Linked DNA regions of Macaca fascicularis. The protein of the gene in region 1 purifies or fractionates together with the protein of each later gene. This does not show direct contact. Links are inferred from orthologs where the notes say so. Each region holds a gene or a part of one and is shown on either strand. Other genes may lie near its edges.

Region 1 (4,259 bases):
CAGTAGTAAATTTTTTTGTTTTTTAGGATGCTGCATTTTAAAAAATTTTGTAATAAAATTATGTATATCAAAAAAAAAAAAAAAGAAAAGAAATTCCGTGTGTAGTTTACACAGCACATCTCCATCCAGGCAGTTCAGAGAATCACTAGGAGGGGTTCTTGGAGGAGGTGGCTTTTGAGCCAAGAATTCATCTTCAAGGCTTCTTTCTATAATGGCCACCAAGTATTTCCTGAGTCAGTTCCATGTGTCCTGCAATTCTCTGAAGGGGCGTGGGACCTACGGATGCCACAGTTATCCAGCATATCCCCAGATTCCAAGAAGTTTGTGCATGAGCCAGCTATCAGTCCAGAAAACAGATATGAAAATAAGTCTGGGCTGGGGAGTGTTTACTCATCTTCTGTTTTCTGGGAGAGACCTTTTTTTTTTTTTTTTTTTTGAAACGGAGTTTCCCTCTTGTTGCCCAGGCTGTAGTGCAATGGCATGATCTTGGCTCACCGCAACCTCCGCCTCCCAGGTTCAAGCGATTCTCCTGCCTCAGCCTCCTGAGTAGTTGGGATTACAGACGTGCATCTGTAATCCCTACTAAAAATACAAAAATTAGCCGGGCATGATGGCGCACGCCTGTAATCCTAGCTACTCGGGAAGCCAAGGCAGGAGAATCGCTTGAACCTAGGAGGCGGAGGTTGCAGCAAGATAATTTGTTCCAGCAAAACAACGTGGCGCTAGTGCAGGAAAAGGTGGAAAGCACGGGGCTAGCACAGGAGGGTTCAATATTTTCAACCTTATCAAGCCGTATTTTGGCAACTCTTGTTTTTCACCAGAAGCCCCCGCTGGGCTCGTCCCAGCGCTGTCCTGAGGCTTCCCCCATGAGTTCCGACAGGGTAGAGGCCGCCCTGAGAGTTTCTCTCTCCCCTGGCCCAAGAGAGCCTTAAAACAAGGATTTTTGATTGGAATTGGCCACTTTGGGTTACTTTTTGACCCTTGACCTCCCCCCAAAGGGGGATCCGGGGGAGGGGCTCTGGCTGGGGTGGCCCCGCTCCTTCCAGGTCCGCGAGCCCAAGTTCTCGCCCACCAGGCTGAGCCCTCCCCGCGGCCGTTCAGCGAGGCCGTTGGCACCGGTGACCTACGACCCCCGTCCCCAGCCCCTCTGAGGTCGCAGCCGTGGCCTCCCCTCCCTATGCCTGCTTCCCGCCCCCTGCCCCTGACGGGCGTCTCCGCGGGCCGATGAGCGGGCCGTATCCACCCCTCGGGCGGGGCCAAGCGCGGACCAATCCCCGTTCGGGCGCCCGGCCGGGTCCAAACGCTCCAATCCTCAGCGGCGGTGGGGCGGGAAGGGGGGGCGGGGATTGCAGGTTCAGCCAACGGGTGGACACGTCGTCCTCGCGAGGAGGCGTGTCCTGCGGCCGGGCGTGCGGCGTCCGCGGCGGCGCAGGGAGGGGGAGGGAGGTAAACAAGATGGCGGCGGCGTGTCGAGCGCGGAAGGGGGAGGCGGCCCGGAGCGCCCGCGAGTGAGGCGCGGGGCGGCGAAGGGAGCGCGGGCGGCGGAACTTGCTGCCGCGGCCTTGGATGGGCTGGGCCCCCCTCGCCGCTCCGCCTCCTCCACACGCGCGGCGGCCGCGGCGAGGGGGACACGCCGCCCGGGGCCCGGCACCTTCGGGAACCCCCCGCCCCGGAGCCTGCGGCCTGTGCCGCTTCGGCCGCCCGGGGCCCCGTGGAGCCCCCGCCGCCGCGCCGTCCCGCGGACCGGACGCTGAGGGCACTCGGGGTGGGGCGCGCGCTCGGGCAGACGTTTGCGGGGAGGGGGCGCCTGCTTGGCCCCGGCGACCACCGCGGGGGTCGCGGGTCGGCTCGGGGGGTGCCCAGTGCGGGCCCTCGCGGGCGCCGGGCAGCGACCAGCCCTGAGCGGAGCTGTTGGCCGCGGCGGGAGGCTGCCCGGACGCCCCCACCCCCCCCGAACGCTCGCCTGGGCCGTCGGGAGTCGGCGCCTCCCGGGAGGTCCGCTCGGTAGTCCGCGGCGGAGCGTTTGCGGCTGGGACAGGCGGCGGGACCCGGGCGTCGCCGGAGACACCCCCAGGGAAGTTGGGCTCTCCAGGTGTGGGGGTCCCGGGGGGCAGCGACGTCGCGGACGCCGCCTGTGGGATGGGCGGCCCGGAGAAGACCGCGCTTGGCCGTGTTCACGCTTGTCCGTGGGCCTGAGGTCCCCGGAGGATGACCTAGTACTGAGAAGCCCCGGCCGGCCTCCCCAGGGCCTCCGAGGACAAAGTTGACCCCGACTGGGCCGTTCCCCAGTTCCGAGGCCCGGGACCCACTGCAACTCGCGTCTGAGCCGCCGTCCCGGACGCCCGGTGCCCGCGGGTCTGCAGACCCTGCACCGGGCTCGGACTCGCAGCCGGGACTGACGTGTAGGACAATCGTTTCTGTTGGAAGAAGGGTTTTTCCCTTCCTTTTGGGGTTTTTGTTGCCTTTTTTTCTTTCTTTTTTCTTTGTAAAATTTTGGAGAAGGGAAGTCGGAACACAAGGACCGCTCACCCGCGGACTCAGGGCTGGCGGCGGGACTCCAGGACCCTGGGTCCAGCATGGAGGTGGTGGACCCGCAGCAGCTGGGCATGTTCACGGAGGGCGAGCTGATGTCGGTGGGCATGGACACGTTCATCCACCGCATCGACTCCACCGAGGTCATCTACCAGCCGCGCCGCAAGCGGGCCAAGCTCATCGGCAAGTACCTGATGGGGGACCTGCTGGGGGAAGGCTCTTACGGCAAGGTGAAGGAGGTGCTGGACTCGGAGACGCTGTGCAGGAGGGCCGTCAAGATCCTCAAGAAGAAGAAGTTACGAAGGATCCCCAACGGGGAGGCCAACGTGAAAAAGTAAGTACGGCTTGCCGGGCAGGCCAGTCACTGTGCGGATGGTTCTGTCTTCCTTCCTTCTCTCCTCCCTCCCTCCCTTACTTCCTCTTAACACCCAAAGCTGGACCCGGCCGGCGCCTGTGTCCTCCGTGCCGGGGAGAGCTTGGTCGGAGGCCTGCGTTACGGACTTTCACTCAGGCAGAGCCAGTTGTCGTAGCGGGGCGTGTGTTTGCTTGGGCTCTTCTGCATGGACGCCCTGGTAGCGAAACCCTCCTGAGAAGGGAGCGGCCCCCAATCCCCTAAGTCTAGCCCCGTGGCTCCCCCAGCTGTCCAAGGAGCAGAGGCGCCCAGTGGAATGAGCCTGTGTTTATTTGGGCGCCGAGAGTTTGTGTGCGGCCGCCAGCAGGTTTTGTGCGCAATGTGTGGCGGTTGCCGGGGCCAGGAGAAAATGTGATTTGTTTATCCTGTCGGAGGGGAACCCTGGGCTGCCAAAAATAACTGCACTGGCTTATCAGCCAGCAGGAGGGAAACGTAGCCTTTCCTCATTTGCCAGGGATGTGACGCTGGAAGCATCCCTGGCCCCCAGCGCTGGCAGCCCTGCCCGAGGAGGACTGTGCCTCCCTCCCGAATTGCATCCGGAAGACCTTACTTTTCAAACTGACTTCTTCAGGCATGGGGCTGCCGCTGGGCATCCCGGACGCCTCTGCATCTGTGCGCGGAGAAGCTCCTACCGAGGGCAGCACGGGCCGGCCTGAGCCTCTCCCAGCTGGTGGGGGGGGGGGTGTCCCTTCCTTATCGCAACCAGACACGCTGCACCTGCCGTCGCCTGGCGGGCCCTGCCCAGGCCCTGCCCCTCTCCCAGCCCTCTTAACTTTCATAACTTTGCCTCCTGTTTCCAAGAAAGGACCTTATCTACTGGGCTAGGCCTCGAGGGACTGGCAGGGACACCCTGCACAGGGCACCATGACCTTGGAAGGAGGTCTGGGGAGGGGCCCCTGCCCTGTCTGCTCTCACCTCCCTCCTGCTCAGGGGCCCTGGGGCTCACATACTTCTTTTTTTTTTTTTTTTTTTTTTTTTGAGACCAGAGTTTCGCTCTTGTTGCCCAGGTTGGAGTGCAGTGGTGCGATCTTGGCTCGCTGCAATCTCCGCCCCCTGGGTTCAAGTGATTGTCTTGCCTCAGCCTCCCGAGTAGCTGGGATTACAGGCGCTTGCCACTGCACCTGGCTAATTTTTGTATTTTTTGTTTTTTTTTTAGTAGAGACAGGGTTTCACCATCTTGGCCAGGCTGGTCTTGCACTTCTGACTTTGTGATCCACCCGCCTCAGCCTTCCAAAGTGCTGGGATTAAAGGCGTGAGCCACCGCAACTAGCCAACACGCTTCTTAATCAGCATGCGGGCTGTGACATGCAGAAAC
Region 2 (3,806 bases), on another chromosome or scaffold:
GACCAACCTGGCCAACATAGCAAGACTCTGTCTCTGGGGGAAAAAAAATCAACTATTACAGGAGCTTAAACATCTATAGCTGTAAGTACATAGAGTACAAGTTTGAAAACGGGTTCCTGAGAAATATTTCATCCCAATCAGGCAATGAGAATGTCTGCTAATCTGAAGCTGTTAGGAGAACTAAATCACTATAAAACCAAGTTACAGAACTGTATCATTGCAATTTCTTGATATACTCAACATGCTCACATAAGAAATCAGTTTTATGTTAAAAAAAAAAAAAAAAACTTACCTTAATGAATCTACCCACAATTTGAGATGTGTATTTTGGTAGCTGTTGTACTTTGCCAAGTAATATCAAAGACACTAAAATATACTTTTTATATGATTCTAACATGATATGACTGACCGCCATGGCAGGAGTAGTTATAGCCTAGGCAAAAGAAAAATGCTTACTGTAAAGAGAACATACCACAGTAGCAAACAGCAATCAACCACATGTATCACATTAATTATAAAGCAGTAATACTTTTTAAACGTCCCATTATTTTTATAACAGCCTTGAGATATAATTCATTTTATTTTATTTTTATTTATTTATTTTTTAGAGACAGGGTCTCGCTCTGTCATCTAGGTTGGAGTGCAGTGATATAATTATGGCTCACTGCACCCTCAAACTCCTTGGGTTCAAGCAATCTTCCTGCTTCAGCTTCCTGAGTACCTGCGACTACAGGCATGGGCCACCATGCTTGACTAATTTTAAAATTTTTGGGCCGGGCGCGGTGGCTCAAGCCTGTAATCCCAGCACTTTGGGAGGCTGAGATGGGCAGATCACGAGGTCAGGAGATCAAGATCATCCTGGCTAACATGGTGAAACCCTGTCTCTACTAAAAAATACAAAAAACTAGCCAGGCGAGGTGGCGGGCACCTGTAGTCCCAGCTACTCGGGAGGCTGTGGCAGGAGAATGGCGTAAACCCAGGAGGCGGAGCTTGCAGTGAGCTGAGATCGGGCCACTGCACTCCAGCCTGGGTGACACAGCGAGACTCCGTCTCAAAATAAAATAAAATAAAATAAAAAATAAAATAAAATAAAATTTTTGGCCGGGCACGGTAGCTCATGCCTGTAATCCCAGCACTTTGGGACGCCGAGGCAGGCAGATCACGAGGTCAGGAGATCAAGACGACCCTGTTTAACATGGTGAAACCCCATCTCTACTAAAAATATAAAAAATTAGCTAGGCATGGTGGTGGGCACCTGTAGTCCTAGCTACTCGGGAGGCTGAGGCAGGAGAATGGCATCAACCCGGGAGGTGGAGCTTGCAGTGAGCCGAGATCGCGCCACTGTACTGCAGCCTGGGTGACAAAGCGAGACCCCGTCTCAAAAAAAAAAAAAAATTTTTTTTGTAGAGATGGGGGTCTCACTATGCTGCTAAGGCTGGTCTTGAACTCCTGAGTTCAAGCAGTCCTCCCACTTCAGCATCCCAAAGTGCTGGGGGATTACTGGCATGAGCCGCCACGCCTGGCCACTTTCTTGTCTTTTTATTTTTGAGGTGGAGTCTTGCTCTGTCACCCAAGCTGGAGTGCAGTGGTGTGATCTTGGCTCACTGCAACCTCCATCTCCTGGTCCAAGAGATTATCCTGCCTCAGCATCCCGAGTAGCTGGGATTACAGGTGCCTGCTACCACGCCCAGCTAATTTTTGCATTTTTAGTAGACATTTTCACCACGTTGGCCAGGTTGATGTTGAATTCCTGACCTCAGGAGATTTGCCTGCCTCGGCCTCCCAATGTGCTGGGATTACAGGTGTGAGCCACCATGCCCAGCCTCTTGCTCTGTTTTTTTTTTTCTTTTGAGACGGAGTTTTGCTCTTGTTGCCCAGGCTGGAGTGCAATGGTGTGACCTCGGCTCACTGCAACCTCCGCCTCCTGGGTTCAAGTAATTCTCCTGCCTCAGCCTCCTGAGTAGCTAGGATTACAGGCATGCACCATCATGCCCGGCTAATTTTGTATTTTTAGTAGAGATGGGGTTTCTCCACGTTGATCAGGCTGGTCTCCAACTCCCAACCTCAGGTGATCCGCCCGCCTTGGCCTCCCAAAGTGCTGGGATTACAGGCATGAGCCACCGCACCCTCCCCTTCTTACCTTTTTAAAACACACATCATCTTGATATTTCAAGACCAGTTTGCTCATGAATTACTATATTTGGCTACAGCAATGATAATGCATCGAGTGGCTATGAAGTACATTTTTATAATTTTCTGAATGTGTAGTCTTAAAGAGAAGTCACCTTGAAGATTTGACCTGACTAGACACATGCTTTAATGACACCATTTCCGCCTACTGGCACCTTATGGTGGCCCTTCTCAGGTCCCCTCAACAGGGCACATCAACCACTCATTATGGTATGGTTCAGAGCCACGGATGTGTGTACGTGTGTGTATTATGTATTAGAATTCCAACTAAACTGAGCTCCCTGAAGGTTTTAAATATCCTTTATTAACACATGCTATGAACTAAAAAGGAAAGTATGAACATCTAGCTAATTTACCTTAAGACAACGGGTTTTGGGCCGGGCGCGGTGGCTCAAGCCTGTAATCCCAGCACTTTGGGAGGCCGAGACGGGCGGATCACAAGGTCAGGAGATCGAGACCATCCTGGCTAACATGGTGAAACCCCGTCTCTACTTTAAAAATACAAAAAACTAGCCGGGCGAGGTGGCGAGCGCCTGTAGTCCCAGCTACTCGGGAGGCTGAGGCAGGAGAATGGCATGAACCCGGGAGGCAGAGCTTGCAGTGAGCTGAGATCCGGCCACTGCACTCCAGCCTGGGCGGCAGAGCGAGACTCCGTCTCAAAAAAAAAAAAAGAAAAAAAAAAAAAAAGACAACGGGTTTATTAATCAATATTGTGTATCTCTTTTTCAAAGTCTGAGTAAAGCTCCAGAATAGTCTACCAAATTGTGTACTATGTTTCATTACACAGACACAGAAAGGGTGGGAGGGACTATTACTGTGTACTCCTCTATACCCTTTAAATTTTGAATCAAGAGAATGTTTCACTGAGTAAATAAAACTTAACAAAATACCACACATGGTTTTAGAATAAGACACATCCAAGATCATTCAGTTCAATCTCTTCCTTATATGCAAAGGAAGCTATAAAGGTCAAGAGATGTCATAACTTATCCCAAATCAGATAAGATATAAGTGCAAGCCTAGATTAGAACCCACCCACAAGTGCTCTTCTATGCACTGGCACTGCTCCTCAACTTAGGGATCAGGTTACCACCATTTACCTGATGACAGAGAAGCAGTCTCTGAAAGGACCACCACCTGAAACGGAGGCCCCGGGATCAGTCCACTCTAGCCACAAACCTATGGGATCACTTTTTTGATCACATGAGTTCAGAACAACCTCAGCTAATTTTTAGAGAAATGATTACCTGTTCATAAAAGTAGAGAGCTCTTTCAAAGTTCTTCAGCCCAGTATAGATCATTCCTCCATAATAATAGTAACATAAAAAGTGCTTTGCATCATAGGCTCCATTCTCTTTACAGATATCCATCATATCCACATCAAGATATGGAAGGGCAGGCTTAAAGCATTTTGCTAGCAAACAAAGCTGTGAACAAATTGATATTAAATCATCACTTTAATTTTACTTAGGCAGGTATTAGCAGAAGAAGAAAATTCATAGATTCCAGAAATTTCCAAATAATGTAATTGTGTTTTACATTTTATTGACTAAAATGATCTAAATGTCAACACATTTCATGTATCTGCTATCTGAAATGCTTAGGACCAGAAGTGT

Evidence for each region.
Region 2: the proteins of STK11 (region 1) and COPS3 purify together in Homo sapiens (affinity purification with mass spectrometry; 5 studies listed by BioGRID and IntAct, with this or other methods). This does not show direct contact. The link is inferred for Macaca fascicularis from reciprocal best matches to the Homo sapiens genes STK11 and COPS3.

Annotation. Positions count from the first base shown.
Region 1 is NC_088393.1:1,784,393-1,788,651, forward strand, and holds the start of STK11 (serine/threonine-protein kinase STK11), read left to right. Parts: upstream 1-1,430; 5' UTR 1,431-2,576; coding exon 2,577-2,866; intron 2,867-4,259. UniProt on the Homo sapiens protein: Tumor suppressor serine/threonine-protein kinase that controls the activity of AMP-activated protein kinase (AMPK) family members, thereby playing a role in various processes such as cell metabolism, cell polarity, apoptosis and DNA damage response.
Region 2 is NC_088390.1:17,359,710-17,363,515, forward strand, and holds part of COPS3 (COP9 signalosome complex subunit 3), read right to left. Parts: intron 3,618-3,806; coding exon 3,438-3,617; intron 434-3,437; coding exon 293-433; intron 1-292. UniProt on the Homo sapiens protein: Component of the COP9 signalosome complex (CSN), a complex involved in various cellular and developmental processes.